Lonchura striata: one gene and its partner. The protein of the gene in region 1 purifies or fractionates together with the protein of each later gene. This does not show direct contact. Links are inferred from orthologs where the notes say so. Each region holds a gene or a part of one and is shown on either strand. Other genes may lie near its edges. The genes, in order: DUSP4 and MAPK8.

Region 1 (15,879 bases):
GCTGTGGATGCTGAACATTTGCATGAGTTCAAAAAGCACCCAGGCCTATTCATGGAGGAAATACCTATTAGGGGTTATTAGGAGCACAGATCCCAGCGCTGGCTCAGGAAGTCCCCCAGGCACATTGCACAGGATGGGAAGAGTTGCCTGGAAAGCACTGGCTCACTTGCCCAGGTTCATGCTGTTTCCAAATTGCCTGAAGCAGGTTAGCTGCCCTTGCAGCCAGGTCATTGATCCAGCTGGACTTTTTACACCTCTTTATTATTGCTGGAGTATCCACATCATTTGAGTGCTCCCCATGTTATTTGACTGGATGGGATATCTACTATTGAACACACAATTTTACTGTTTTTGCTATTCCTGCTGTTGGACTACTTACTCTCTTTACTGGGCTTTTTCTCTGTTTCTGCTGCTGGTGCTTGACAACACTCCTGGAGTGGCTTAAGCCCTTTGAAGGGGCTGCTCAGAGAGTCACCAGGTCAGTGGTGGGTTGTGGCTGGCAAGTAGTCTGTCAGAATGTTTCCTATTCTGCTGGGGTTTTCTTTTCCCTTTATTGAACACATTGGGCAAAGCAGAGCAGAGAAGAAGTGAGCCTCTGGGAGAGATTTTCAAGGGCAAGGGCATAAACTCTTGCCAGCAAGGCTGTGGCATGTGCCTATCTGTCAGCATGCCAACTGCTGCAGAAGCTGATTCCAGCCCTGAGAGCATATGTTTGGCAGCAGCCTGAGAGCCCGAGGTCTCTGCTGCTTCCCTCTGCCCCTGATGGAAATACCAAGGCCAAGGCAGCAGGATCAGGCCTTTCTCAGATAAGGCCTTTTTTGTTTGTTTGTTTTAACAAGAGAGACCTCACACTGGCACAGGAAACCACTGAGAAGCGAATTGAAGGAGGCTGGGACAGTTGTCCAGCCTCATTTCACGTTCCTCCGGAGGCACAGAGCACCACCAGCCAAGGTCTCCCATCTGTTCCACCTCTCAAAGAGGGCCCAGCTTTAAAGTTCAGTGGGGACGCCTGGGACAAAGTCCATGAAGACCTTCACGGACACAATCATCTGACGTTTTTGGGTGTGAGTCAATGCCTGATGCACCAAGACAGGAGGTGAATCAGTCACAGGGCTCTGCTGGGGGTGTCTAGAAAGAATCACGGCAGCTGCGGTCACTTCTGACCCCCTGGGCCATCCACACTTGACCCCATGGCTGCCTCATCTCCGGCAGGGGACAGAAAGACACGACAAGCCAGGGCCACGTGTCCCTGCCAGATTCGTGTGATCAGGTCGCAGCAGGAGCTGAGATCATCTGTGGAGCAGAGAAGGGAGATTAACTGGAGGCACAAAGAAGCCCCAGAGGGATTTCAGACTTTCTCCTCTTGTCACAGCCTCCTGTGGATGGCTGTGATGCTCAGGTCCCTGGGGTCCACGGCTGCTGGCACAGGGCCCGTGGGAAGGATGTGCGATTGTTCGCGTGCTGAGACAGCGCCCAAGGCAGAGCCCAGGCTGGGAGGCAATGGAGAAGGAAAAAGCCTGTCTTTAAACTTGAAGCTGATTTGGGGTTTTGTCTTGTCACAATTACGATGATTGACTCTCTGTGCCTCAGGAGTGATTTCTGGATATAAATCTTCCTTTGGTTTTTTTAATATACATTTGCCATTGTCTTGGTCCCAGGCAAGCATCAGGCCATGCCAGCCAAGTTAGAGTCACAGAGCTAAGGCTGCATTGGCCTACGTGAGGCTGCTTTTGTTCTAACCCCTCTGCTCAGCAACTTTACACAGAGCAACACCAGTGTGAGGCACAGATACACAGAAGTAGCACAAATGTGTGTCAGAAGGAGTTCAGCTACACTTCTGGCCTTTGAAGAGTTCAAGCTCAGCAATCTCCCTGTGTTTAGTAACCACCCATGTGCTTTGCTTCCAGGAATTTATCCTTTTACTTTTGATGCTCTGTAAACTCAGAGCATGCACAGGTCCTGCAGCAAGGTGTTTCCCTGGTTAACAGCTTGTGCAAGTTGGTGCTCCTTATGTGAGTTTGACCTTGCCAGACAACACTTTTGGTTCCCATGTCCAGGCACCTGGATGAACCCTCAGCATCTCCATGCCTCACAAGAGGGCACAGTCCTGTTGAAAGAGCCTCTGAGGAGCCCAGCTCCCACCTGGCCCACTGCTTGAGGGACAAGAGACCGAGTTTGTCCCAGGAAAAGCAGCAGGTTTCCGTTCCCCTAGTGCCTGCCACTTGGGCCTTGGGATCAGGAACGAGTACAAGGGAGCTGCTTGAAGCCAATTGCACCCCTTGTGTCTGTAAAAGAAGTACCAGACACAAATCATCCCTCCCTCAGTGTAACTTGGAGGGATGTCCCAGTTACTGCTGGCACAGAACAACCTGTATTTCCACTGCTGTTTCAAAACTCATACAGGTACCACTGCTACATTCATAAAAATTAGTGGGAGATTTGTCATTCATAGCCTTAGTGTATGAGTCTGACACTATGTATAAATAGGTTATAGTCACACTTACATAACACTGCCTTATTTATGATCTTAAGCCCAAGGGAGAAATGTCTCTTCCCAGCCCTTTCTTCCTAGCAGAAAACGTCATTCAAAGCTCAGCTTCAATCCTATCACTGAGGCCGGATGCTTAACCAAACACTGGGAAATTCAAGCGAGGCATTTCTCTTTCAACTTGCAAACAGTGATGTACCCAAAGAAGGCAGCTGCTAGGATCTCTGTGCCCATGATTAAATATTGCACCAGGGCTGGAGAGTTTTCAGGAGTGATCCCTGGCTTCAGAGCCATGAGAGATATAATGTGTGTTAAAGGCAAAATGTCACAGGCTATGTTAAAGGTTAAAATGCCACATCCCTTAGCGGCTTCAATCTAGTTCTCAAAGCAGACCCCTTACACTGCATTTGTCTTACAGCAAACTGAGAGGAGGGGATCAACTTTCTTTCACAGATTCACTTCTCTGGCTCTCTGCTGCATCCCCAAATCCTGCAGCCAAAGATGTAAGACTAATCCCCATGGCACTAAAAATTCTGGGATTAAGAGACCCATGTGCCTGTTTTATCCACCTCTGCTTTATAATCCTTCGTTTTAATAACATGACCACAGACCATGTATGTCCTGACACCTGGAATGGGGAAAGCTTCAGGGTTTTTGTGAAAAGCAGGAGATGGAAGGGGATTGGAAGAGGATGCTGATGGGGTCTGACACAGCACCACATTTGTATAAAATCATGACAAAATGTAAAGCATAGTCTGCGCAGATTCTTATATCAGGAAGAAGCTTCCCAGTGTGGGCTACCCTGGTTCACCAAGGCTGCAGCAACATTCAGCAATCACCCTGGATCCTACCACCCACCCCCCAGTCTGAAGCACTGGTAGAGACTGTGCCCAGGAGACAGCCAGGCTGGCTCTGCACCTGCCGGGACCCGAACCAGAGCTGGTCTCTGGTTCCTGGTGTTGTGGAGGGGTGATATAGAGGGGCAAGTCTGCCACACCTGTGGGAACATTGGGCTCCTAAGTCCTTCAGAGCAGGAGTGATGGATGTATGAGTTCTGCATGCCCTTTCCCACTGTCCAGTCTTCAGGAGTCCCACCAGCAGCGAACCTCCAAACCCTGCAACTGGTGTCCCCTCACACTTCCCACCAAAACCAGGCAGGTCAAAAAGAAACAGCACAGGATTTTGGAAGGCTCCCTGTTTCTGCAGGCAGAATTTAGGCCTGTTGCAGAGCAGCCCTCACCTAGCAGAAGCCATTGCTCTTCTTAAAATCTTATTCCCATTACTGACCATGCTGGATCAGGCCTCACGTTTCTCACCCAGAGTAACTGGGGCTGCACTGACTTTTACAAGCAGAAATAAAAGCAGTGGCAAAAAGCAGGAGGTTGAGAGAGAGAGAGAGAGAGTGGGGAGAGAAACCAAATCTGCAGCAGAAAATCTGCAGGCCACTTTGTATCCTGCTAATTTGAGTGGGTCCGGCCCTGATCTCATTTGCATGGGCATAAACCATTTGTAGCTATTGAGGTACATGGAGGACCCATCAATGTTCTGAAGAAGTGCTCCTTTGCTTTCAGGAATAAAGGCTGCTTTTTCCATCTTCCAATCTAAATCAGATCAGAGGCCCAGAAATGAGTCTCCTATCTAGTGATTTATGGCTCTATCTGATATTGCAGGGAAAAAGCAACAGATTATTTGTTCTTCTTGAGATAAAATCTGTAGGGCTGGAGTGGGGATTACACACCAAGGCCTCAGCAGAGAGCAGAGAAAGCAGACCTGGCAAAGCTCCTGGCATTTTTCATGTGCTGTCAAAGGCTTTTGGGTTCGCATGCGGAGAGCTTTGTGGCTTGAGGCAACAAAGACTGTGGCAGGGTTCAAGCAGCCTGGTGTGAAGGAGCAAGGATGGGATAGGGAAGCACCTCAGCCCAGCCTGGAACAAATCCCCTTCCTTGGCTCCCTTGCCTCTTGCTCCAAGCACACACAGTGTTTTCAAAAAGCCCTGAGAGATTGTCTGCTGAAAAACTAGTTATGGCTGAGCCGCTCTTGTGACTGCCCACCAAGAGCTGCATTTCCTCTGGCTGCCTTGGAGGATGGGGTGATGATCTGGGACATGCTTGCTGAAATATGCTGTTGTGACCCTGGGACACATCTGGGACAGTATGGAGCTTAGCTATGAGAAGCCAGTGCAGGAGGGATGCATTTGGGCCTGAACAGCTACCTGCCCTCTGGTTCTTCCTTCTCTCCAGGGGTGTCCCATGCTAGGCAAGGCGCTGCCCTGGGGCCTAGGCTGGTCACATGCTTCTGCAGCTGAGGGGTTGGAAAGCACTGAAAATGAACATTTTCCCCTCCTCCACCTTCTCAGCCAACCTTGCATAATTTCCCCTTTAGCCTCTCTAGACAGGTTCATTACAATTCCCATCCATTAATATGTAAATATGCCCTAGAGGAAAGACAGCCTGAATTTATTAACATGAATCTTTTAACTCTTTCACTGCTGCACTTCCCTTTGTGGACAGGAGGGTGCATTCCCCAGCCTGGAAAGCTGTGAGGAAGGGAGATGGCAGGAAAGGAGAACTGTAAAGTGCTCCAAGAGGATAGAAGGGAACCATGCCCCTGTGGCACTCTGGGAGGGTAAGGCTTTTCGGTAAGTGCGGACTTGCAAGTTGCTAAGACCTTGATCCTGCCTTTCATTTCTGCCAAAGGCTTCCTGCACATGCCAGGGCAAACCACTCAACCCTTTGGCCAGCCACTGGCAGCAGCCAAGGAAAGGTGGCAGTATCTTTATGCTGCAACCATTGCCACGTGCCAAGAGTAGTGAGGATGTACCTCTGTGCTTTGTCCATCCATAGCTCCACTGGCTGACCAGGAGGATGGAGGGAGTCAAGCTCTTGGGAAAACTTCAGCATAACAAAGTCCTGGCCACTGTTCCTGCCCAGCGGCACAGAGGCAGGCACATCTGTCAGGTAGCTGAGACCTGCACTGTGAGCCAGCACATCAGGACTCCATGAGTGCACACTGGGGCCAGGAGCCAGGGGAGCAGAGCCAGGAAACCTGGAGGAGTCCAGAGGGCTCGCAGAGCTTAGCATCTTAAGAGCTGCCCACAGCAACTATTGCCCACCCAGGGGAACTTATGCTTTGGCATTTCTCTGGGCAGAAAAAACCTTGAGGTAGCCCAACAAATGGGGATCTATTGGCTGGCAAATTTACAGCCTGACTCTAATTTGGTTTTCACTGCCACAGTGAGATGAGGTGTAAATTCCTTTTTCTTAATTCAAGTTACATATTGACATTTAATCATCCAAATATGTGCCTCCTTTGACAATTCATTTCCCTTCAACCCTTTCAACAATTGTCTTTTCTGGCCAGGGCCCTATAAAAGATGATTCCTTGACTCTGCTGCAAAGGAAATGAATGTATCTTGCTCTCTCTCTTTTCTTTTGGTTGTTTGTTTTCCAGTGGGATATATTTCAGTTTGCACCATACGGATGCTCTTTGACAGGAATATTAGCTTTCACACTTCTCTGGGTTTACAAAGTCAGGCATGGAGCCATGTGGTCTTCTCCAATCTCCACCCCCTATCCCCAATCTTTTCCATACACCCTGCCCCTTCAGCCCACATAGCTGTGCTGCTTCTTTTGACTTGTGGCTTCTGCTTTGCAAGCATTTTGGGTGACTCTCATCTTAATACCTCTATAAATAAAGTTAATTAGATTTCCTTTTGAGCTAACTGCAGTGAGGGAGATCCTTCTTCTCCTCCAGCGGTGTGTCATGGCCTTGCCTTGGTTCATTTTGGGCACTCTCGCCTTTGGGTTCAATTTCTCCACATCTGTGAGCCACCAGCCCCAGCAGAGCGCCAGCTCCAGAGGTGACCAGCCAGGAGCACAGATGTGACAATGCCTAGTGTGGGTGCACAGTGGGATTCCCAGCAGCCTGACTGGGTGCAGCTTATTTTCCAGGAAGCCAAGAACCTGCCACATCTAGATAGGGCAGCAGGAAGGGATGAAGAGTAGGGAGAGGGTTCAGTCACATGGAAATACCTGAAAATCTCCACCAGATGCACATGCACACACATCCTTCCACACTCTGCCCTGAAGTAATATCCTTCATCAGTGCTCTTGCAAACATCAAGGAACGTCAGCCCAAATGCCCCTTCCTGCACCCATGACAATACTGCCCTCCTCTCCTACCTCAGATGGGTTTGTCCCAGTCACACACTGGATGAGAAAGGGAAAAATAGGATGATGGATCTGCCTCCAAGGACATACACTTTGTGCCCTTGGTTATCCAACTTTAGCGTAAAAGCTGGAGTGAATAGTGCAGAGGGCATTTGAGACACCAGGCTAGCTCATCCTGTGTTGGTGGCCAGCAGCTGCCCAAGAGGAACAAAGAAAACAAAATATTTTAGCATCAGGCCTTGCACAAAACTTTTTAAGATGCTTTGATGATCCAACTTGAGTTCAAGGACTCTTGGTACGAGAGTATGATTTCCCATTAATTTGTAATCAAATTCTCAGTTTGAGATTTTTGTCTCTGGCAGCTTTCTCTACAGGAAGAAAGAATGTTTTTGGTATGTCACTGGCCACCCAGAGTCTGCTTTACTTCAGCAGAAATAGGGTTTTGCTATTCTTGTGTTTGATGCATGTTAGAATGGGGGACGATTAGCCTTCCACCCTTGTATTAGGCAACAGGCTCTAATGCACCCTGGAGGGGGGTTTATTACACAAATGGCAGCTGTGTTTCCCCCACAGCTCATCTGATTTGGCTTGGCTGGCAAAAGGTTGGCATGGCACACAAAAGCCACAGGTGCAAAGATTGGGCTGACTCAGGCCGAGGGGAGAATCCAGCAGCGGTCAGAGAGCAGAGTGTAAAGGATGCAGGAGTGTCACCAGCTGTAGGTCCTGCACGTGTGTGCTAGGCTGGATTCCTCCCAGGCAGGCACACACAGCAAGGTGTTACCCTGCCGTGCCTGGGTAAACAGCGACCGAGTATGCAGGGGAGGGGAAGCCAAGCTGCCTCTCCAAGCGCTGCCCTCTGTGAAAAGCAGTGACAGGGCAGATGAGCTTGAGTAAGCATTGGGCCCCTAACCTTACACCCACCACATCCAAGTCCACATCTGGATAGCTGAACACCTTCAGGTCTCTGAAGCACACTCACCTGGGACTGGCCGGCATCAGCGTGCAGGAAATGCCCTGAGCACTGTTGCTGGCATTGTGGTTTGCGATGCTGCTTCTGTTTGAAAGCAGTCTGAAAGGGGACTTTGGGGTGAAATGATTGCTCGGTGTTTGGGTGGTGGTTATGGGGAGACCCTCCTGGGACACTTCAGGGCTGTGCATTTACTCCTTAGTCTTTTAATAGAAAATTGAATTCCTCTATGTGAGGAATGAAATCAGGCAGGGTGCTGTAGTGTTTTCAGGGCTCTGCAGCCAACGAGATGCCGTTTTCTGACAGGGGAAGCGTGGCCGTGAAAGATGCATAGCCAGAAGGACCCAGAGGGACCCTGCAGAGCTGACAGCGGGCCCTGCTCAGTGCCCCCCGCCGCGGCAGTCCAAGCGAAACAGCAGCAAGGAGACAAAGGAAGAGGAATGTGCGCAGCGTGTGCCCGGCCTGCTGTGTGCGTGTGCCTGAGTGTGTGTGTGTGTGTGTGTGTGTGTGTGTGTGTGTGTGTGTGTGTCTGTGTGTGTGTGTGTGTGTGTGTGTGTGTGTCTGTGTGTGTGTGTGTCTGTGTGTGTGTCTGTGTGTGTGTGTGTGTGTCTCTGTGTGTGTGTGTGTGTGTCTCTGTGTGTGTGTCTGTGTGTGTGTCTGTGTGTGTGTGTGTCTCTGTGTGTCTCTGTGTGTGTGTGTGTGTGTGTGTGTGTGTGTGTGTCTCTGTGTGTCTCTGTGTGTGTGCGTGTGTGTCTCTGTGTGTGTCTGTGTGTATGTCTGTGTGTGTGTCTGTGTGTCTGTGTGTCTGTGTAGACGGGCGCGTGTCCCGCAGCCTGTGCACGCGCGCGTGTGTCCCGCAGCGTGCGGGTCCCGGGGGGCGCGGGCGGGGGTGACACGGGCTGCCCCGCGGTGACAAAGGCGCGGCGCGTCGCGCCGCTCTCGCCCATTCACAACCCGGACGGGTTTTCTTTTTTTTTTTGTGAATGGAGGCGGTGACGTCGCCGCGCCCGCGCGCCGCCTCCCCTCCATTCATGCGGCCGCGGCGCGCCGCGAATGGGCGGGGCGGGGCGGGGCGGGGGCGCGCGCCGGCCGCCGCCGGGTAGTAAAGGCTGCGCGCGGCGCGCGCGGGGGTGCGCGAGCGGCGCGGGCGGCGGGCGCGGGGCGCGGCGGGCGCTCGCTCCCCCCGCCATGGTGGCCACCGAGGGGCTGCGCGAGATGGAGGGCAGCGCGCTGCGCCGCCTCGTCGGCCGCGACGAGGCCGGGGCCGGCGGCGCCGCGCGGTGCCTGGTGCTGGACTGCCGCCCCTTCCTGGCGCACAGCGCCGGGCACATCCGCGGGGCGCTCAACGTGCGCTGCAACACGATCGTGCGGCGGCGGGCGAAGGGCGCCGTGAGCCTGGAGCAGATCCTGCCGGCCGAGGGCGAGGTGCGGGCGCGGCTGCGGGCCGGGCTCTACTCCGCCGTCGTGGTGTACGACGAGCGCAGCCCGCGCGCCGAGGCCCTGCGCGAGGACAGCACCGTGGCGCTCGTGGTGCGCGCGCTCCGTCGCGACACGGCGCGCGCCGACATCCGCCTCCTGGCAGGTACCGCCGGCGGGAGCGGGCGGGGGACACCGGGAATGCCGGGCGGGAGCCGGCGGCGGACGGCCGCCCGCGCCCGGGAGCGAGGTCCGGGCTCGCCGTGCCCCGGGCGCTGCGCTGCCTCCCCCCGGCGGCGGCTGTCCCGCAGAAGTTGGGAGCCGGCGGGAGCGCTGGGGGCCGCACGCACCGGGGCTGCGCCGCCCCGGAGCGGGGTCCCGGCTCCGCCGCAGCGCGGCCATCAGCCCCGAGCGTGGGTGCCCGGGCGGTCTGAGCCGGCTCCGGGGCATCGACCGGCCCCGTGGCCCTCCCCGGGACCTGAGGGAAGTGAGCGTGTTGGGGGGAATCCCCCCACGCTTTGTTTGAGTCCGTCCCCGGCCCCGTGGTGCGCAGGAGGTGTTTGTGCAGGTCAAATACCTGCTGTCACGGCGATGTCCCCTTGCAGCGGGCAGAAACCCCGGGGACGCCTCTGTGCTCCTTTTGCGACTACAGCAGGGATCAGGACTCCCCCCCTCTGCCGTGTGTTAAAATGGGAAGCTGTGCACATTTGGAGCTGCTGGTCCTGAGAATTGCCTTGAGATGATTTAGAGGCGGGGGATGCTCAGCTGGGGTTCCTGGATGAGCTCTGGGGGGCTTTTTCTTTTTTGTTTACAGCCTGAGAGTCAATTTATTCCTTGGCTTACTTACAGCAGGAGTGAGGATGTGTATGCAGAGTAGCAAATCCATTAAGAGGCTTGATAGATGGAGGAACTAGCGCTTCGGTTGTAGTAGATACAGTAAAAGCAGCAGGAGCTGTTCCAGGGATGCGATACGACGTGCTGCTGCGGGAGTGCCTGTACAGCAAGGGCTTGCTCAGGAGCAGGCTCCTTCACCGCGAGCCAGCGTGGTGCTGGAGCCACGCATGTGGCAGGAAATGCTGCTCTCCTGCAAGGGTGGCCTTTGTCAGCTAAGAGCTTCTGGTGCCTCTGTGGTTCTCGTGGGAGGTTGGTAGGAATGGGAGCTCTTTTAAGGAATGGGCTCCGAGAGACTCAGTCTCAGCACTACAGTCTTCTTTTTGCGTTCCACAGAGCCACTGAAATAATCTTGTTCTGATTCCATGAGGGCTACACTAACCCAGAGCTGTGCATGCCCAAGTGCACATTTGTGGGGTGCAGGTCACAATGAAAATCCTGAAGTGTTTTGTGCAGGTCAGGCTGCTGCCAGGTTCCCTGTGAAGCAGCCGGCCTGGGGGTTGCTTGGCCATAGGCACCTGCTCTGCCTGGCTCCTGCACCGGGCAGGGCTGGTGTGAACAGCCAGGAGCTGCTGGATCAATGAATCTGATGAAATTCATTGAAGAGAAGCATTTGAATAGGTCTCTTTTTCTTTCCAAGAACCATTCTTTCCAAGATTTTTCTGCCCATCACCCTGGGTAGCTTTTCCCTCTCATGGTGTGATGACCACTGGAGTGTGATGTAGTAGATCCAGAGATTTTAAGACCAGAACCCTGGAACTTGTCTAACAAAGACTTTTGGTTTTGGATGCTCTTTCAAATCGAAGCAGTAAGACTGTAAAGGGATGTCAGGCCGGGGAAATGAAGCTTCTGCAAACTGTCCTGGCTGCGTGGGAGGGACAATGCAAATGCAGTGATAGATCTGCACGGTTCTGCTTTAAGGTACTAGAGCCCTTCCTTTTGTAGGGGGAGGAAGCCACAAAGGACACTGGGATGCTGGCAGTATCGGGCTCTAGCTGCCCAGGGATCCCTGGGCTGCTTGAGAAGCTTGCTTCCATTGTTTTGAATATCCAGCCTTGTTCAGGGCAGTCTCAGAGCTTAGGCTGGGTAAGAAGTATCCTGCTGTACGCTCTGCTAAGCCAAAATCTGCAGGCATAGGTCCTGCAGTTGGTTTGAGTCTTCAGGAACCAACCTGGGAGTCAGGGCTTGATCTAGCTGGAATCCTATGATGATAGTAAAATAATGATTTTCATTGATTTTGAGGCTCAAAGTCAGACCCTTCAAGGATGTCAGGGTTGTTGACTTGATCTGAATGAGAGAAGGAAATCTCACCAGAAGTGTTTATTGGCAGGCCAACACTGCAGTTTCCCTGTCCTGGGAACTCAGTGGGATTTGCTCATTTCACCGGCCATGAGGAAGCCGTGACATTCCCTGTGCTGCTTATCCCCCTGGCAGCAGGTCAGATGAACAAGCTGCTCCATGTTCAGCTTGCACCTGAGTCCTTGGGAAGCAGCAGACTCCTCTCTTGGAGAGCAGTTTGGCTGTGGGGTCAGCCAGAGCCAGGGCTTTCCTGGTCTGTTGTTTTGGAAGCTCTGAGCTGGAGGGTCAAGCTGGGAATGGGAGACCTGCCTGTCTTGTGACAAAATGATGTGTCAAGGGAAGAGGAGAACTGAATAGTCTTTGGCCTCGGAGCAGCTTTTCCCATTTAAGTCTGAGTATGCTCAGAGAGCAACCTTGGCCTCATTCTGGAGTTTTGGCTGGCAGTATGCAGGGAACCGAACCCTGGACCAGAGACTTTGGGTGGCCAAGATCATTGCTCTTGGTGCTCTTGCTCCAAGGGAATGGTGGGGCCGCAGGGATTTCCCCCTTGCTGCCAAGAGCCTGACTGCTCCTCCTGGGGCAGGAGACCACTCTCCATCGCTGTAGCATCATCTAGTGGCCAAGGGCATCTCCGGCTGTGCCGTTCCGCAGTCCTGTGAACGCGGTCTGGGGTAACACTTTGTGCCTCTCTTCTTGCAGGGGGCTATGAGCGCTTCTCCTCGGAGTACCCTGAATTCTGCGCAAAAACCAAGTCCCTGAGCAATGTGTCACCCCCCACCAGCGCTGAGCCCCTGGATCTGGGCTGCAGTTCCTGTGGGACCCCTTTCCATGACCAGGTATGTCTAAAAGCCCAGTGCTTAGCTAGCTTGACTGCCCTTCCAGCATTACAACCTGCTCCAACAGGAGTCTCTCTGCTCTCCCTTAGCTGGGGCTCACGAAGCCAAAGCCCTACTTCCTTTCCTCTCATGGGAAAGCATGGTGGTCCTCCTAAGCCCAGGGTGTTTGTGTGCCCCGCTGAGTGGACACGCCCAAATCCTTTTAACCCACACCTGCCTGTTTCTGAATAGGACAAAGGCAGATAGAGGAAGGGCTGAAACAGGTTTAGCACCTCAGGAAGGCAGCCTCTGCTCCCTCTTCTGAGGACCCTGGATCGGGTGCCAGGTTGCCGCACAGCTCGTCGTTTCCAAGCCATCTGGATGTGTGTCCTGCCTCCCACTGTCCCCTGGTCAACCTGTTGTTTTCTTCTGTCACAGGGTGGGCCTGTGGAGATCCTTCCCTTCCTCTACCTTGGCAGCGCCTACCACGCAGCCCGGCGGGACATGCTTGATGCACTGGGCATCACAGCCCTGCTGAACGTCTCCTCAGACTGCCCCAACCACTTTGAGGGGCACTACCAGTACAAGTGTATCCCTGTGGAGGATAACCACAAAGCTGACATCAGCTCCTGGTTCATGGAGGCAATTGAGTACATTGGTGAGTGCCCGTGCAGAGATGTCGTGTCCATTGGTGGCACCGGTGGGAGGGAGGTCAGCCACCACCTGCAGGTTGGGTGAGGGGCTGGGCTGTGGTGGCAGGGTGTGGGTCTCACATCTCACCCCTGTTGCCCTCCAGACTCAGTGAAGGAGTGCTGTGGCCGGGTCCTGGTGCACTGCCAGGCTGGCATCTCCCGCTCAGCCACCATCTGCTTGGCGTACCTGATGATGAAGAAACGTGTCAAGCTAGAGGAGGCCTTTGAGTTTGTCAAGCAGCGCCGGAGCATCATCTCCCCCAACTTCAGCTTCATGGGGCAGCTGCTGCAGTTTGAGTCGCAGGTGTTAGCCACTTCATACGCAGTGGAGGCCGTCAGCCCCTCGGGGACACTGCGGGAGCGGGGCAAGGCCACCTCCACCCCCACCTCGCAGTTTGTCTTCAGCTTCCCAGTGTCTGTCGGTGTCCATGCCACCCCCAGCAGCCTCCCCTACCTGCACAGCCCCATCACCACGTCGCCCAGCTGTTAGCTCAGGGCCGAGGCCAGCCAGGCAGGTAGTGCCAGGCGTGCAGGGGCGTGGAGCCCTGTGATGTTAAGCAATAGTGCCGGACACTGCCATTCACCCTGGACTCACCATCCTTTTCGTAGGGAAATTTTTTACCTCATCTTGGTTTGTTTGCTTTTTATTGTTATGTTTTGAAAGCACGAGGTTGTAAAAGCCACAAACCTTGACACTGTCCAGGCTCTTTGGGGGAGGAAAAAGATAGTATACTGGGTTTCCTCAAGTGCCTGGTCTTCACGTGTTTCCATCCCGATTTTATTGTCTTGTTTTTTTACACCTCCCCTTCTCCCCATGTTTCTGCCTCAGCTCATCTAGGTTGACAAAGGAGCATACCCTGTTTTATTGTGCAGCAGCCTTCCCCCTTGCAGAGAGACCTGTGTGTTTATGGCAAGTGCTGCTTACCTGAGCCAGGTACACTTTGGACAAGCAGAGCTGCAGGCAGGGCTTTGGGGTGAGCAGGAGTGGTGGCACAGGGCTGCCTGCACTCAACCTCAGCCCTGCCAGTGGCTGGGGAGATGAGGCAGGAGCTGGCAGGCACCTGCCAAGTCACCAGCTGAGCCTATTCCAGGGGGAGAGCAATCTCTGTGGTTGGGAAGTGGTTTGGAGGGAGAGATGTAGTCTGAAATGCCTTTTCTTGCCTCTGTGGATCACTGGTTTCTAGAAAACTTAGGTCCAATCTCCTGTGGCTTTAAGATGAGAAAGAAGGGGTTGGGGCAGCAGTCTGGGCTGCTTTTGATTACTCTGCTCAGTTTCCTCTCCACCAGTCCCACTGCTGCTCTTCTTCCAAAAGGAGCAGGACGGGACATGGGTGGGCTGTAATGGAAGAGAGAAGCTGTGGGGTGGAGGACAGGCTGGCCCAGAGGTGTCATTCATCCAGCATTTTCAAGCTTCTTCCACATCATGGCCAGCCCTTTTCCTGTGCTGAGTCTTGTTCACCTGTGCAACATTTCTGCAGCTTTTGGTCCAAGCCTTGAAAATGCCTCATCTTCAACCCACCTGGAGCCTTATTTCCCACCCTACCTCTGTCCTTCCCTCCAGTCCAGTCCAACACACAAGATGCCTGTGTGGCTGATGTACATATGTATGGTTTTGTTCTTTTTTTTTTTTTTTCTAGAAATTAACTTTTTATTTATTGCCTGAGGGAGGGAGAAAACATTGTTTGGAGAAAATAAAAATAAAACTGTTTTCAACAGTTTGGCTGGAGCAAATTTGTCCTAAGAGCAAGACAGAACAGCAGGTTGTGCACACATTCCATTTTCACAGAGCAACTGTTAAAAATGTATTTATTGACTTTTAAACTATTACAAGTATTGCAGATCAGACATTTAGCCAAGCACACTTATAGATCAAACTCAGTTGTTACAGAGATGTTACCTAAAGTCCACCATGTAGATAGGCTGAGAAACTGCCCATCGTCTTCAACTTTGAGAGAGAAGGTAAAAGAAGAAATAAATAAATGATATCCCAGCTCCAGGTAATTGGCAACCAAGAGAGGACAAACACAGGGCTAGTTATGAAAACAAGTTACACAAAAAAGGTCTAGAAATTCAACCCCTAGCTACATTGCCATCTGGGTTGCCAGAGAAAGCTATTAGGAATGACAAAGCACAAGCTCATGGGACCACAGCACAGGAAATCCCCATTTCAATTTCCAAAGCTGAAGCAAGTTCTGCAGATGTTAAGAAAGTGTCAAAATTATCTTGTAATGACAGAGATTCTAATAATCTACATTAGTAATTAAGGGGACCAGCACTAAAACTTGCCGCAAACAGGTTCAGCAACACCAATACATCAAAACCAGTCAGATAATGTGACTTGACAGGCATATGTGTCAGTGTAATGGAAATGCATTTGCTTCCCAAGTCCCCTACAGATTCCCAGGCTCATTCACCTTGCTTCAGAGATTTTAACACACATACAATGTTCCCCAATCCCCTGGGTTTCACATCTACTCTGTGTTTAGAGGTGGGAACACTGCCGCTCCCTCTCTGCACTCCTGCTACTTTTGGAAAGACCAGGAAAGCATGCTCTGGACTGTGCCAAGCCACCACCTCTGATCACCAATGGATTCAAGTCTGTGGAGGTTCACAAGCCAGTTGTTATGTGAGGCAAGAACTGAATATATGCTTTCCCAGGTCTTCCCTATCCAGGCTGCAGCATAGCTTACATTGCTGGACAAATATTCAGCTTAACAAAACTGAAGCATGCATTAGATGCATGACCTCTTGGATTTCTAAGCTGGACTTCCTGTGGGAAAGCAGCATGGAAACAGAGAAATCCCACTGAAAATAAATTCACATATTTCCTGACATTCAGCTTCTGAGAATGATTTGCAATGTTCAAACTAATCTGTTTTGTGGCTGGACCTTTCTGTTTACCCATCTTGAAAAATCCTGTTCAGGGCAATTTCTGTTAACAGTCCCATATGGAAATTGCAGGCAGTGCATGAACTGTGCAGAAACTGATGTCATTGCAGGGTTGCTGGAGGCTTGTTTGAGATTTGCCACTGTCTTAAGTAGCCCTCACAGGCCATGCAGTGGCATAACATGTTTGCATCCCTCAGCACCTCACACATTCACAGGGAGCAGACATCTCCTCTAACCTAAATAAACAGCAGGA
Region 2 (15,227 bases), on another chromosome or scaffold:
AAATCTAATTTACATCATATTAGGTAGGCCACTGTCCTTGAGTAGAACTGAATATTTGATGTGCAATCAAGCCTGACCACATGAGGTCTTTAAAAATGAGCGCATAAGTTTTTTCAAAATTTGAAATAGCAAAAACTATTTTTGTTGACAAGCTGAATGACAATGGAAGAAAACACACCCGATTTTTTTTGTTTTCAATCAGTATTCATTAAGATTCTGAGAATAACTTTTCCCTTGCACTCTTTCTTACTGTCTTTGCTACTGTAACAGAGGGTGTCCCCTCTTAAACTTAGCTAGCATGAGAGCATGGAACCAACATACTCAGCCCCACTTTGTGTTAATCAGAGAAAATGAAGTTGCTTATGCAAAGCTGATCAGCAGCCTCTGACAGCCAGAGGGCAAGGGTCACTTCCCGATGAGAGTCTGAAGTTCACATACCATATGACATTGAATATTACTGCCTTCTAGACAGAGCAGGTGGCCACTGAGGACAGCACAGCCTCTCAGCTGAACAGAAGCCATGTGATAAGGAAAAGGCTGCATGAAAACATATCGGACACCTCAACTCTGGCATCCCAGATGAATTTTCACCAAGGTAAAGAAAGATTTATAGCCTGAACTGTTGGATAAGGATACAGACAGCCTTTTCTATGTCTTTCCCAAAGTAGATGGATTGTTTAATTTCATGCTGTAGTGATTACATGTAGTGTTGGATAAGATAGTTATTGCTGTACGTATAAATTACTTCATAATGGAAAGACTCTGAGGCAAGTCAGTGAGGTTTCTTTTCCTTATTTCCACAAAGGACAATAGTCTCAGGGCTGTGAAGCAATGATAACAAATCAGGTTGCACAGATTTGACTCTTAAAGCTCTTTGCATAAAACCTGTGCATATAAAACTCCTCAGCTTTCAAAACTGCTTTTGTACTTTGTATACTCCAGTGTATTTTGCAAGCTGGAGTTCTGTGAGGTTATTCTCCTGCCATTAAGGAATATATAGTCATCTTTCCTATTTGATTATTCAAGGAAAGATTTGTGGTTTATTTTTTTGATTTTAGCTTAATTTTCTATTCAAAAGATGTTTTATAAATTCACACAGTAATTGCTGTAGTGATTTCAAGACAAATTCAAATCCTGCTCACAATATAAATAAAACAGCATATACCAAGATTTTATTTCATCTGACTAAGATCAAGATATATTATCCCTCAGAGTAATTCTATAACTGTATCTTTTTTCTAGTGCCTACACTGTGCTGTTCACTTTGACAGTGATCTCTGATTTTGGAGCAAGGAGAAAGCTGGCCCAAGCTATACAAGATTTTTTGGGATATGCTCAGCATTAGGCATATGAGCAATACAATTCCTATTCAGTAAATCACACATTTGTGCCATGAAATCAGCTAGACTCAAACACAGACTTAAATATATCTGCAATATTTCCATTAGCTATTATTGGTTATAAGAGAAGGGGATTATTTTGGAAACATTGAGACAAGCTACCCATCAAGCCATATCGGTTCACTTATTCAACTGAGCTTGTAGATTCACACTTGCAAAAGTAGGTAGAAACTCTGCTGCTGCCAAAAAGGATGGCCCCATTTTCAACCCTGTATTAACCAGAAATTCCTGCCAGTTTCCTGACACTGGTTGCAGGGATTATTTGTCTGGTGTGATCTCTGTGTTTGCTCATGATTCAGATCACTTGACTTACACTTGCCAAAGGACTTCAATGAATTAGGGTGTCAATTATATTGAAAATGTGTGAGCTGCACTTTGCAAGACAACATTCCATTTCTTCCTTTTTTAAAATTAAAAATTATCCTTCAGAGATTCTGTAAAAGGACACAAGAGAATGCAAAACAAGAAAAGTCAGCGTGCAAGAAAAATATATACATCCTAATGAATTAGGATGTCCCATTAATGAAATTTCTGCATCTGCCTCTGGTAGTGGATTCTGTTTGGGCATTGTCCAGCCTGCACACAGAAAGAAGAAATTTTAGCTCAAAGTTTTGGACCTCAGAGTAGAAGGAATAAGAACTTTGCAGGTTATCTGCACTTTGCAACCTTTCAGTTAAACATGTAGAACAGAATTAATGAATTAGATTTGTTTTATATGGAATAATTGAGAACTATGAAAACCAATTTTGGTCAGAATAGGATATGAAAGTAATAGAATGATGTTACCATGCTTTCCTCAGTCTTTAAGGAATTGGAGTCAGGGTTAGAAGACAGAAGGATGAGGTCTATATAAAAATTAGCAGATCGAAATGTTATTTACATTAACTTGCAAATACAATGGCTTATTACCAAAGTATATGATTCACCACATTTCCTTTCTGTTTCCAGACAAAGGGCCCAGATTAATGAACTATAGTCAGTCAACAGAAGATTACAGACAACTCTCTGTGGATTGTAGTGATTCTAATAGTATTTCTGAAAGTACATCTTTGATACTGTCTAACCGAGGACACAGGAAAGGTAAGATTTTTAAAAAAAGATTATGTTTGTGAATTATTATCTATTTTGTCCCCTAAAGTGTGGGATTGACCATGTACCAGGTGACAGATACTCCTATGCAACTTGTGGTTATGTGACTTGGGAGGTATATTTGTGCTAAGTTGTAGGGAAGAAAGATATTTTTATATCTGATTATTTTTCACTTGTGTCCCACAGTACAGCTATAAATTTCCTGGCTACCATGTAGCTCCATCACCTCTTTCTTGCTTCATGCCCCCTTTGCCAGGTAAAGCTGTTCAGCAGATCACAAAGCTTGACATTATGTTTTTAGCACATGGGATCTTGACACAGAAAAGGTGGGGCTACCCCACAAATGCATATGGTGGGCAATGTCAAGACATCAGCTCTGAAATCAGCTGAATCTATAAATAACACCTAAGAGTGAATGTTCTATGGGGACATAATTCAGAGAGAAATTAGGCATATCATGGGAAAAAAACCCATAATATCATAGCCTCTCAGCCCTCAGCCCAAGGATGAGAAAGTGAGGTTACTGCTGTTGATGGTCTCCTCCTGCAAGGTGCTTTTCTGAAGCTCCAGAATTGCAATCAATATCAGCAGCAATGAAAACCTGAGACTGCAGCTGCTCCATGAGTGACACATACGTGTGAGTCACATACACAGTCACACACAGTGAAGACAAATTCAGAAGTCACTTTCATAAGCAATTTAAAAGACATTTTGGTCATAAACTTGACAAAGGCTCATTCCAGGGCCTTTGTGCATATCTCAATCTCCAATGAAGCACAGGTAGCTGTGCATACTCAGGAGTTTGTAATACAGGATTCTAAAAACACATGAGTAAACACAGAATGTGAGAGCTTATTTGTCACAAACATTCTTTCACAAAATAATACATCATAAAAAAAGCATTCTGCTATGATAAGAAATATTACTATCTAGCAGAGCACCATTATCAAAGGACATAAATATCTCTATCAAGACTGCACATTAGGAGCTCATTTAACATATAGTAAATCTACAGCATTAACTTCTTTGAAGAATACATGTTAATTTAATGTCAGGTGTGTGTTGGATTTGTGATCAAAGCATGGCAGTCTGGCCATGGAAAGTAGCCAAGTTGTCCCACTGCTAGAGCAGCTGATATAGAAAGACTAAGGAGAATTTTATGATCTTATCAAAATATATTTATACAAGTATATTAAAACCACAGTGCAAGCAGAGAATTTTGTGAGGTTTTCTCATTAAAAAGCATGTTGTTTCAGAACACAGGATTGAATCTTAACTTTGGTAACTAGCTTATCTCAAATCTCACATTTTGTCACTACCATCTGCAGCTTGAAAAAACCCCACATGTTTATTCTTATTTTAGCAATGGGACTGTAGATTTTCTAGGTTTCAAAATTGCAGTTGGTTGGTTGGTACACTAGAATTCAGTGTCACGTTTTCATGTTGGAATACAGAGTGAAGTCTCAGGGTGTAGTGCATGAATGTTTTATCAAAATGATTCCTTCCACACAGCTTGTTTACAACCTCTATCATCCTACTTATGTAATAGTTTGATATGCAAGTCTTCAAATAAGATCAATGAAATGATCAAAGTGAATAAGAATTTAACCTTCTCACCATTCCCTAAAGATTTCAAATATCTCTGCTGATACAAGAAACATTCATAGAACTACAACTTGTATAACCCTTTCTGGTTCTGCCTCTAAATTTCAGCCTTCATGACAAAGCAACACTTGTCCATAGTGTAGCAACAGAGATGATTGAAGGTGAAAAACAATGCAATCCTTATTTGCTAAGGAACCACAAGCCATCCACTATTCCTACCATGTTTGTATGTCGTAAAAACATTCACAATATATATAACATAGAAAGTAACCAGTGGAATAGATACAATCCTTTTCATTTAATTGATTTTATATTCTACTCTGATTAAGCCAGAGAAGTTTCATGCCTTTTTCTGCCCATTTTATGCCTGCAAATTGAAGAACAAAAATTGGACATAATTTCTGAAGAGAAAAAGCTGTTCCACAAATTACCCCCATACAGATGGAAATGACAGCCATTGTACCTACACAGCTGTTTTCCAAATTACATTCACATAAGGGGTTATGAAGAGGAAGTAACAATAACTAGGGAACTGGGAATACTGCTGGTGTAGTATTCATTAACCTTATTAAATAGCCATTTATCATGTCCAAGTGAGGATACAAGAGAGGAGATTGCCAGTTTAAATTTCTTCCCTGTTATAATTGTCCCAATATCCGATGCTGAGTGCCGCTACTATCACTTGAATTTTGAAATTTCCTATATTCATTGCAGGAAGAATTCCAGAGACACACAGATCATGTGACACCACACTTAGTGGGTCAAGGACACAAAGTAGCTACAAGCTCTTCATAAACAGGTAAGCTCAATTTATATTCTACAAGATGAAAGCTGTTTTATAAGCAAGTGAATCCAGCAGTTAGTGTGGCAATGCCAGTATCAGAAATGCCTGAATTGACATCTGAGCCTGCTTTGATAATAGATATCTATATCTATATCTATATCTATATCTATATCTATATCTATATATTATTATATTTATATAGAATAAATAACGTAATAAATACATAATATTCTACTATGTAGAATAAATAAATAATGTTCACCTACTCTTGGTTTGGCTCCAAGTCCAAAAAACCTGGGCCCTGAACGATCCATACAAAGCAGATGCAGGAATTCCACATTTACTCTGTACCAGTGTGTCCTGCCAGATGCCACAGGCCTCCCAGAATAGCTGCCCCCAGCTGTGTCTCCCCCAGGCAGGGAATCAGCATTAGTCCCCTGTGACTGAAACAGCTGGGAAACTGCTGCACAGACACTGTGGAAGGATGGATTTTATGATCTTAGAGGTCTTTTTTAACCTTACTAATGATATAATTTATGAAGGGAAAAATCTATTGAAAAGGTATTAATAGTCATCACTTTCCCTGTCAAGGCATTCTGCCAGAGTCCTTATTTGTCCACATTCAGATTTTGGATGTGGTCTAGCCTTGCTGTCACATTAAAGTGCTGTCACACCTTATGTGTTCTGTAGTGGTTATGTGAAACCATGTATATAATGTATAATTTTCATTTGCATTTCCATCTCAGTCCTTATACTGATTTTTCTCACTTGTGTCAGTCATGTCCAGCCCTGCACTGCCACTGTACTGGAGAGTTACAGGAAACCCAGGGTCACGAGCAGTAAAGACCTCTGCTCTGTCATGAGGATTAGCCTCATTTCAGCCATGGAATGGACAGCAGCCCTGTAGACATTGGCAAAGAAAAGTGAGGATTGTACAACTGATACTAAGTCCTTTTCAATAGCCAGGGAAACACCCCTGCTGCCAAACAAGAATTTTCTAGACTGGGTGTTAGCACAGTGCAGCTTCCAAACAAAGAGATGCAAGTACTGTCAGTCTCTAGGCATCACAAAGCCCAGAATCCCATAGTTAAGCACCATGTAATCCCTACAGACATCCCATTTAAATTGGGTTCTTGACCCAGTTAAACAGGAGTTTCTTCTTTTAACCATGACACGAGTAATTCAGGCCCACAGGAAATGCTCAATTTAGATCAACTCCCAATTAAATGTGTCCTAAGTAAACAGTTTGAACTTCCTGATAAATCAGCCATGATAATCTGGGCAATATGAGATACCCCAGTACACCTGTAAAACTGCAACAAGAGAGATCTACAAGCAGATTGCGGGATAGTGGCTGCTTTTGTCAAGAAAGAAGTCTCTGTCTACTTGTCTAACTACACACACACATATTTGTGTATGTGTTCACCAACATCTATATATGCATCATATATCTAACAGTTATATGAGTAACAGAGGATTTATTTACTGAGTACTTCACAGTAATTTCCATGCCTCTGACTAAAACTCTAGATATGATCTTAATGTACTTGATTTAAAATCATGCTGCCAAGAATAAGTTCACCTCCTCTGCTGAAGGACGAACTCTGTTCTCCAAATTTCCAGCAAGCTGCTTCCCATAGAACTTCAAGAACTTTAAACCCCACTCCTGGCTGTAAGCATCTGCAACTGAATGTCTACCACAGTCACCATTCTATTACAAGTACCATTACAGCAGTGGAGTTGAAATTACTTTGGAAATCACGTTTCCCATGTAGGAGTACAACCAACACAAAAATTAGTGATGGGTTTACTATCTATAAAGCTTACTTATATCATCATGCTCATTCTGTAGGAAGCCAAATTAACATAACTTACATCTCACAAAGTGAAGCTTGTAAACAAGGCTCTGGTCTATATCTAAAGAAGACACAACTGTAAAATCTGGCACATCTCACCTAACAGGAGTAATAACAGGAAGTGTTTTCCACAGTAAAAGAAAGCCTTCTTAATAATGAATTTTGGATTTTGAGGAGAGGAGAGGAGAGGAGAGGAGAGGAGAGGAGAGGAGAGGAGAGGAGACTCAATAATCATCTAGTCCAACTGCCTGAGCATTTCAGAGTTGACCAAAAGTTAAAGGATGTTATTAAGGTCATCTCCAAATGACTCTTAATAACTGACAGGCTTGGACCAGTGACCATCTCTTAGGTGGCCTGTTCCAGTGTTTGGCCCCCTCTTAAGGGAAAAAATGGTTCCTAACATCTCTGAACTCCACGTACTGTAGTTTTGAACTGCTCCCATGTTCCCTGTTATTGGATACTAGGCAGAAGAGATGAGAAACTACTCTAGTTAATTTTTGAAAAATTTTTAGAAATTCCTTGAATAGTTGCCTGATGTAAATCTTCAATGTGCAAAAGAAAATGATAAAACTTTAGGATAATGGAAAAGCTTCTATGTGTCTTTAGCATTTGCTGAAAAAATGTAATTAACAAAAATCCACCTCAATAAAACCCCTCCCGAACAACATAATCATTTCTTGTTCAAAGCTACAGTACAGAGACAGCTTTCTGATCTGAGGTTTCACACACCTTTTTCTTAATTAAATTAAAAAATCCCTCAGTTCCCTAGGACATTAATTTATCCTAATGAATTAGTATTCAAATAATTTAATTCCCATTTCTGGAAAAATTCTGAATAATGTAACAACAAACGTTAAGGCTTTCTGAAGCTTTTTTCTTGAGAAAATAATAAATGAGGAACTTTCTTCATCCTGTAGAATTCCCAGAAGGGAATGGGGCTGCACTTTTTGCCTGTCGGCTTCACCAAACTTAAACCAGCTGCATTTGGCTCACCAAATGAAGGAAAGAAACAAACCTGACTCTATTGAATCAAAGCAGAGTTTAGATTTATTTATAACGGAGAGTTATAAATAAATCTAGAGTTATACTCCTGTTAAATTTTTCTTTTTTTGTAAAGAGACATTAAGGAGCTTATAACAGACATTGTCCTGGACTTCATCATATTCAGTAGTTACTGTACCTTAAGATCTCTGCCCCCAGGTCACTGTTGTGTTGACTGCATGTTAGATCTTTTTCTCACATTTCCTTTGAAGGTCGGTGAGTGCTGTAGAAGAAATCCCGGGTGGAACTGCGAAGAACAGCCGACAGAACCTGATAAGCTTGGGATCCACCTTCTCTGTGTCCACAAAGGACTCCTCAGCAGCTGCCGCATCACAGAAATGTTTGTTCCACAGGAAGGAAAAGGTGAATGACGAAAAACATATAAGCTGATTTCAAAATGTAAATATCACTAAAGAGAAGCCTCTCATCTAATTTTTGTTTGACAATGATGTGCATATTAGCTACTGAGTCATCTTATTAGATGAGTATTCTAAATTGACAGACTCCAAATTAGGCATGATCCAGTTATGCTGTCAGAACCGAAGGCAGTGAAAGCAATTGTCTGTAAGGACTAAGCAAAAGCTCATAATTGAACCCTCTCTGACCTACATATGTGATTTCTGCCAGCATCAAGCACCATATGGACTGTTTTCCCCAACCACTTCGACAGCAGTTTCAGAACAGCAAAAACTTTACAGAGACAGTGTACCCAAATGCCTGCCAGCCAGTGATGCTCAAAGGACTTAAATTTCTTTTTACAGTGCATGTCTGGACAGAAAGCATAGGCTGACAGTGAATGGGCCCAGACAGTAGTTCTCCTAACTGACTTTTTCTACTTTCTAAGTTGTAGTAGGACTCTGTTAAATGGAAAGGACAAAGTTTCTTTCAAAGGTATGCTGTTTTGCAGTCTTTTCCGGTTTGCAAAAATTCAGAAATAACTTATTCACAGAAAACTCCACCATGATCCTTCATATGGAGTTTTCTGTTGTGGAACAAGAAGGGACAGGTTTCAGGCTGATGAACCCTTTCACCTCTTCCCAGTCCAGAAGCTCAGCAGTGACCAGTGACAAATATTTGGTCAAGAGCTTCACTTAGATACTTTGGAAAATTATATTTCCTCATATGAATTTTATATTATATTTATTTTATACATTATATTTATATGATTTAAATGTTGTGATTATGGTTTTTGTGGGGATAATAACAGCCTTTCACAGGAGTTCAGCAACTGTTACAACACAGTGCTACTCCCTCTTTAATGTGATGCAAAACTGCATTGTCTGTTGGTAAGACCATACTGCTATGAAATTTCTTTCTTTTTTTTTTTAAGTATCTAAATGGGTCAAGTTACTAAGTCACGGTGAATGGCTGGAAGGATTCACATCTTATTATTTGAAGACATTTAATTATTCTGTCTGCTTAAGGGATCTAAAAGCATAGATGTATCTGATAAAAACCCAATATATACAACTAGTTGAGATGGATACTCAGCAAGGAAAAAAGAGCTTAAAACTGTTGAAGTTATTTGCAATTAAAACAAAAGAATACAATGTCTAATAATAAGAACCATCAGTCAGCCTTTATTATGGGGAAGAAAGCAGCTCTGCATTTCAGTCTAGTTCTTAGGGAAGTTGGGCTTAAGCAATCACAGTGGTGTGTTTGTATGTTTCTGTGTCTGTGACTGTCCTCAAAGTAATTTGGGAATCAAATGAGAAAAGGTCTCAGAATAAATTGTTTCTATAAGTGTCATGAAAATAGATACCTTGCAAAGGAAATGGATTTTGATTAAGTACCTTTACAGAAGAAAAGGCTTCCACATGAGCTTAGCCCTACTTAGACCCTGGAGAGTCTACAAAGGAGAGACACCAAAGAGAGAGAAGTCACCAGTCAGCATTTGCACCTTATTCAACACTGAAGTCAATTAGGTCCAGCATACAGATCAATAGAAATGGGTTTCATTGATACTTGTGTTTGGGATCTTCATTCCATTAAGAAGACTTACAAAATTTCTAAATTGCCTCCTTGCAGTTTTCAGGTCCAGAATTTATTATTTTGTCAAGTGAACCACCAGTGACCTTACAGCTGCCTGGATCAATTGTGGTAAGAATGAACATTAAGGATTTTGAACAAATCCAGTGACATTTCAGTCAGGGCTCTTTGTAAATAGCACCTGAGTCTCAAGCCAGTATTCTCTCCATGTCCTCCTCTCAAAACAAGTTAGGGTTCCTTGCAGAGATATTGAGACTTGAAAGGGTGTCCATTAATTCTTAGTGCTATTTAGTTATTTCTGTTGGTGTAAAAAAAAGCTTGATTTATCCTTCTCAGCTAAGAATGTTCACTTTAGCCCTAGACCTTTGAGACAAAGACTGTGTAGTAAATCTGCAATATGACATCTAGTTCCAATGCATGGGACTTCTCCAGCTTGCAAGCAGATACTTTACCTTTCATCAAGGTAAGGTAGAAAGATGACAGCAGATAGCTGTAAAAATGAGAGCAAAACAAATTTGGAAGTAGCACCAAATCTAGAATAACTCTGGCACCTGGAGAATTTGAGTATGCTCATCTGTTTTGTTGTGATTCTTTTGGTTTTAAGGAAATAAGAAAAGTTTGTGATATTAATTTATGAGAAGGGAGGCAGAGATTAGCATGGTGTTGTGACCAATTCCATCAGTTGCATAGAGACAGGCTACTAGTGGGCCTCAATATAAAATGCTGTGGAACTTGCATTGCTTGTACTTGGCACTCATTCTTCATTCTTTCTTGCATGTTCTTAGACTAAAAAAGGGAAATCCTATTTGTCCCAAAGGGATCTCAATGTGATTCTACTCAATGGCCAGTGCCTTGAGGTGCAATGTGATATCAAGACCAAGGCAAGAGATGTTTTCAACACTGTGGTGGCATATGCAAACTTGGTGGAGCATTTCTACTTTGGCTTGGCTTACCTGAAAGGTAACGAGACAGTTATTTATATATGAGACAATGCCTCTGTAGTCACTTTATCAATGAATTCCAGTAAGAATTAATCAAGGAATCATTCAAGAATGCATCAAATAATCATTCATCAAGAATTAATTCAAAGATCCTTTAAGATCCTTGGGTAGAAGCAGACACAAAGCTTGTGCAAAAGTAAGGTATGTTGGTTTAAACTGCATTGCACTGGTGTAAAGCATGTCTGCCCTAGGACTGTGCACAGCACAGCCATACAACATTTACTCACTGATATTCCCAGGCAGAAAAGGCTGTATCCCAGCCTTGCACTCAAATAACACTGAGCCATGCAGGTCCAGCAGAAATTCCAGGAAGCATTGCACTGGGAAAGGCTGCCTGTGTTTATTCCTAGATATAAGTGGGAGTACAGGTTCAGCTGTGTCATCTACCAGACCCACATCTCCCTGGTCCCCTTCTGATGGCAGGCACAGCTGAGGCACTGGGAAAGAGCACACCTTGTGTGTGGGCATGAGGATTACAAAGGGGTGCAGAACCTGAGTGGTGAGAAGAATGCAAGCTCCATGAGTCCTTGAGTGATTTCTCAGATACCATACTAATCCAGCATCTAACATTTGTAATCCAAAATTACATACTGTCCTAAGTTCTACATCAAAGGAGCAATAACTAAAATTTGAGAAGTTAAAGCTGAGAACTAAATCTTAGCTGACATCCCCAATCCAATTTATTTTTTATTGCTAGTGATGCACTCTATGAAGACAGCAGAACTATGCTGCTGAAGTATATCCAGGTTTATCACAGAACCCAAAATTCTCATTTCAGGTAAAGAATTCTTCTTTTTGGATGAGGAGACCAAACTCTACAAAGTGGCTCCAGACGGCTGGAATGACCAACCCAAGAAGAAAATGTCCATCATTAATTTCACACTTTTTCTAAGGATAAAATTTTTTGTCAACCACTTTAATGTTATTCAGTAAGTGCAAAATTCTGCTGACTGAAGGAAAACTGGTAGCATTTAGGGATACCATTCAAAGCTCCTCCTGAGTTCCTAAACCCTTTTCTATTCCAGGCATGGCTTGACAAGGCACCAGTTTTACCTGCAGCTTCGTAAAGATATTTTGGAGGAGCGATTATATTGCAGTGATGAGACTGCCCTGAAACTCGGCGCTTTGGCTTTACAGGCAGAGCTTGGCAATTATGCTTCTGAGGTGTGGAGAAATAATACAGTATTTCTCAGAGGTCTCTCTCTACAACTTTTGCAGCTTTTGTCACATAGAGTTTAAAGAAGAAATGTGAATAGCAAAGAACTTCAGTTAAGTCCTCCAGATAAGTCCTTCAGACTTAATTTTAAAAATTACAAAATATTCCTGATTATGGAGTAGTAATGAGCCAGGTGAATTTGCCAGGAAATATGGCAGAATGATGAGAGAGTCTAGGTCCTTCATTGATAATATAGCCTAGAAACTCTAGAAAATCTGTAGAAAGTTTCCAACACAGGCCCAGCTTGGATGTGTGGAGGGGCTTAAAGAGATTAGTAAAGAGGGAAGAGAAAAGCAAATGAACGCTTCAGAATTCACAGCTGTCTTATGTGTAGGCTCAGATCCACAAGCTGCAAAGACAGGGAGGTCTCTGATTGTATATCTGAACTGGCTGTCCTAGTTTTCAAGTGCATATAAAACACCCATTTATGTTGCTTCCATAACTTCAGCTATGTAAATCAGGGTAGCTCTGTTAATTGAACTCGGAGTGGTCTAATCCATGTGGTCAGATCAATCATGGCAATGGGTCCCCCACTGTAGGTTGTACTGATGCAGCTGTAGCTGTCAGCTCTAAGGGCAGGACACGCCTGTAGGCCCAGATCCTTCCTCTCCTCTGCCCAAAGAAGTGATGTGTGCTTTGAGCAGCTGCCTGAGCACAGGGGCAAGAGGCAATTTGGCTGTCAGGACACTGCGTGCTGTCCCCAGTTTCCTTTGGGAAATGGCAGCAGGGTGACTTCTGCATATGGGTCACCCTGAAAATGGAATGCGATGAATAAGAAAAGTCAAGAAAGAACAAAAGGCTCCTGTCTCTTTGTTTTTCCCCCACAGATGCATGGAAAGAGCTATTTTCGTGTTGAAGACTACGTTCCAGCAAGTCGAATAGAGAAAATGACCCTGGCATATGTACAGCGAGAGCTTGCTAAACTACATCGTATGAATCGCTCCCTATTTGAGGATGAAGCTGAACTAGAATTTTTAAAGGTAACTTGCCATACCCCAAACACTATTTATTAATTTTGAGGTAGAGAGCCCCTCTCTATTTACCGTTGTTTATTTTCTTCTTGTCTGATACAATGGTAGATATGGTGAAAAAATTTGAATAGTCAACAAAAATCTCAAAATTTTATTCTGTTGTAGATACTGTCACTTATCACTGAGGGTTTTCATAACAAGTTTTGGTGTATTTGCAGCATTCTAAGGTTTGATGTAAATTTTTGGCATGTTACCAATATGTCTGGTATCCAGAAGATTATAAAACATGAGACTAAGCACTTTTTTGACTTCTGAAATTAAAGCAGCTGTTCAGCTACTTTCTAAATATGTAGTGATTGTTTGTTTAAAAGTATCTGTGAACCTTGGAAGTGAGGAAGGAGTTATCTGAAATATTTTTGCACTTGACTATTTCTCTAGAGCTCTAAAGTGTCACAATGACGTGGGATTTAACTTTTTTCCTGCTAATTTCTTTCTCTCCAAACCTCTCTGCTTTCCATCAAATGAAAAATATAAAGGATTAGATAATGGATAAATACCAGTAGTCATTTTGCTGCAGTGCCACATGCTGTTATTTATAGCATCATTTTAGTTCAGTTGCTATTTAGTTATATTAGTTCTTCATCTAACACTGTCAGTGCAATTAAGAAATAGATTGAAGCTTAGCCTAAATGACAGTCCCATGATGCATGGCAAATCCAATGAAGAAAAAGAAGCTTTGTTAGTATCTGTTTCAATGAATAAGTCTGTAGAAGGAGCCAACTCATCATACAAAGTGAGAAAGACAGACCCCATGGCAAGAAAATGTAAATTCCAAATATGAAAGGGATTAAAAATTAAAACCCAGATTCAGCTAGTGATTATAGATGCCCCAGTTTTCAGGACCTGAACGTTTATACTATGGTTACTTTCTGAAAAAACAGATCTTCTTAAAGTGTTTTATTTTGGTCACTGAAAACCTCTGTTCACAATTGAAAAGTCATTTGAGGATTCTACAGTAGCTTCCCAGAAAGAAAATATAAGGTTTTAGGATAAACTCATATTGGTCTGTAGATTAGACAGAAAATCCTAGTCCTATTCCATAGTTCTGTAAAGTGTCTGAGCCACATTTTAACACTTTCATGGCCAAGTACAGTAGGTAGAAAGACAAGCATCAACACCCAGAACCTCTGGGTGAGTTTCTCAGAATATCCCCTGCATGGTTAGATGGCAGGGGCAGACACTCCTAAGACACTCAAAAACATTTTCTCTTCCATCTACCTTTCTTCCCATGAATCTTTTTGAGTAAGGGCATGGTTAAAATACTTTTTCCCTACAAGGTGACTCAGCAACTTCCTGAATATGGAGTGTTATTCTATCGTGTGTCCCAAGAGAAGAAAGGGACAGAAGGGGACATCATCCTGGGAATCTGTGCCAAAGGCATCATCGTCTATGAGAACAAAAATCACACAAGAATTGCCAGTTTAAGATTCCAGTGGCGAGAAACAGAGAGAATTTCAGCTCACGTGAGTTGGAACTAACTGAATCTCTTCTCTACTCTACTGCTTAACTGCCTTTCTTCCTGTCGCTTTGATAAATTTATTGCATTCAGAGTGAGAATTAGATTCACTCTATATGGGCAAGTCCTTTCTGAAAAGAGCTTCAAATCAAAGCTGGATCTGAATGTGGATATGAACATACAAAGAATTCATTCTTTTTGAGGTATAGTTCCACAGTATTTATGCTGAGGCCAAAGACAAATTGCCATAAAACCAAATAATCTGGTGCTGACTATTACAGAGACTATGCCAAATCTCTCCACAGTATATTCCATATTAATTCATCTCTTGTCTTTACTGCTCTTTTCTTCTGTTTTTCTGACTACATCAGGTCATGGGATGATGTCTTCCACTTTCCAGATCTCATTATTCCCAACCTCATCTTTTAGTATATTGATGTTTGCTAACAAACTAATATTGGTGACAAGATTGCGACCCATTTCTAAATGGGATTTTGACATTAGAGGTGTATCAATGTACAGTTCAGGTGTCAAATTGGATTACACATTTCCCAGCTTGTTTGCTCTCCAAAAATATTCCTTCTCCCCGTTGGAGATATGTTCCCTTTCATATTAAATTTGTTTCATAATTTTAACATCTGTAGGGCCAAATTTTGCGGTTTTAGCACCTGCTATCACTGCATTCAATGTCCTAAGGTTCTTGACTTTTAACATAGAAGAGTTATGATCCCAATGACAGACACCTGGCTTACAAGTGTT

The links.
Region 2: the proteins of DUSP4 (region 1) and MAPK8 purify together in Homo sapiens (affinity purification with western blotting; 3 studies listed by BioGRID and IntAct, with this or other methods). This does not show direct contact. The link is inferred for Lonchura striata from reciprocal best matches to the Homo sapiens genes DUSP4 and MAPK8.

Annotation. Positions count from the first base shown.
Region 1 is NC_134606.1:44,024,284-44,040,162, reverse strand, and holds DUSP4 (dual specificity protein phosphatase 4), read left to right. Parts: upstream 1-8,812; coding exon 8,813-9,335; intron 9,336-11,905; coding exon 11,906-12,066; intron 12,067-12,483; coding exon 12,484-12,703; intron 12,704-12,841; coding exon 12,842-13,227; 3' UTR 13,228-14,452; downstream 14,453-15,879. UniProt on the Homo sapiens protein: Regulates mitogenic signal transduction by dephosphorylating both Thr and Tyr residues on MAP kinases ERK1 and ERK2.
Region 2 is NC_134609.1:14,835,811-14,851,037, reverse strand, and holds the start of MAPK8 (mitogen-activated protein kinase 8), read right to left. Parts: upstream 8,001-15,227; 5' UTR 7,915-8,000; intron 4,894-7,914; exon of another isoform or gene 4,809-4,893; intron 2,481-4,808; exon of another isoform or gene 2,462-2,480; intron 2,442-2,461; coding exon of another isoform or gene 2,349-2,441; intron 596-2,348; coding exon of another isoform or gene 469-595; intron 1-468. Other genes in the region: FRMPD2 (FERM and PDZ domain-containing protein 2), read left to right, coding at 469-595, 2,349-2,441, 8,725-8,852, 9,804-9,875, 10,550-10,724, 11,544-11,694, 11,791-11,929, 12,809-12,961 and 1 more. UniProt on the Homo sapiens protein: Serine/threonine-protein kinase involved in various processes such as cell proliferation, differentiation, migration, transformation and programmed cell death.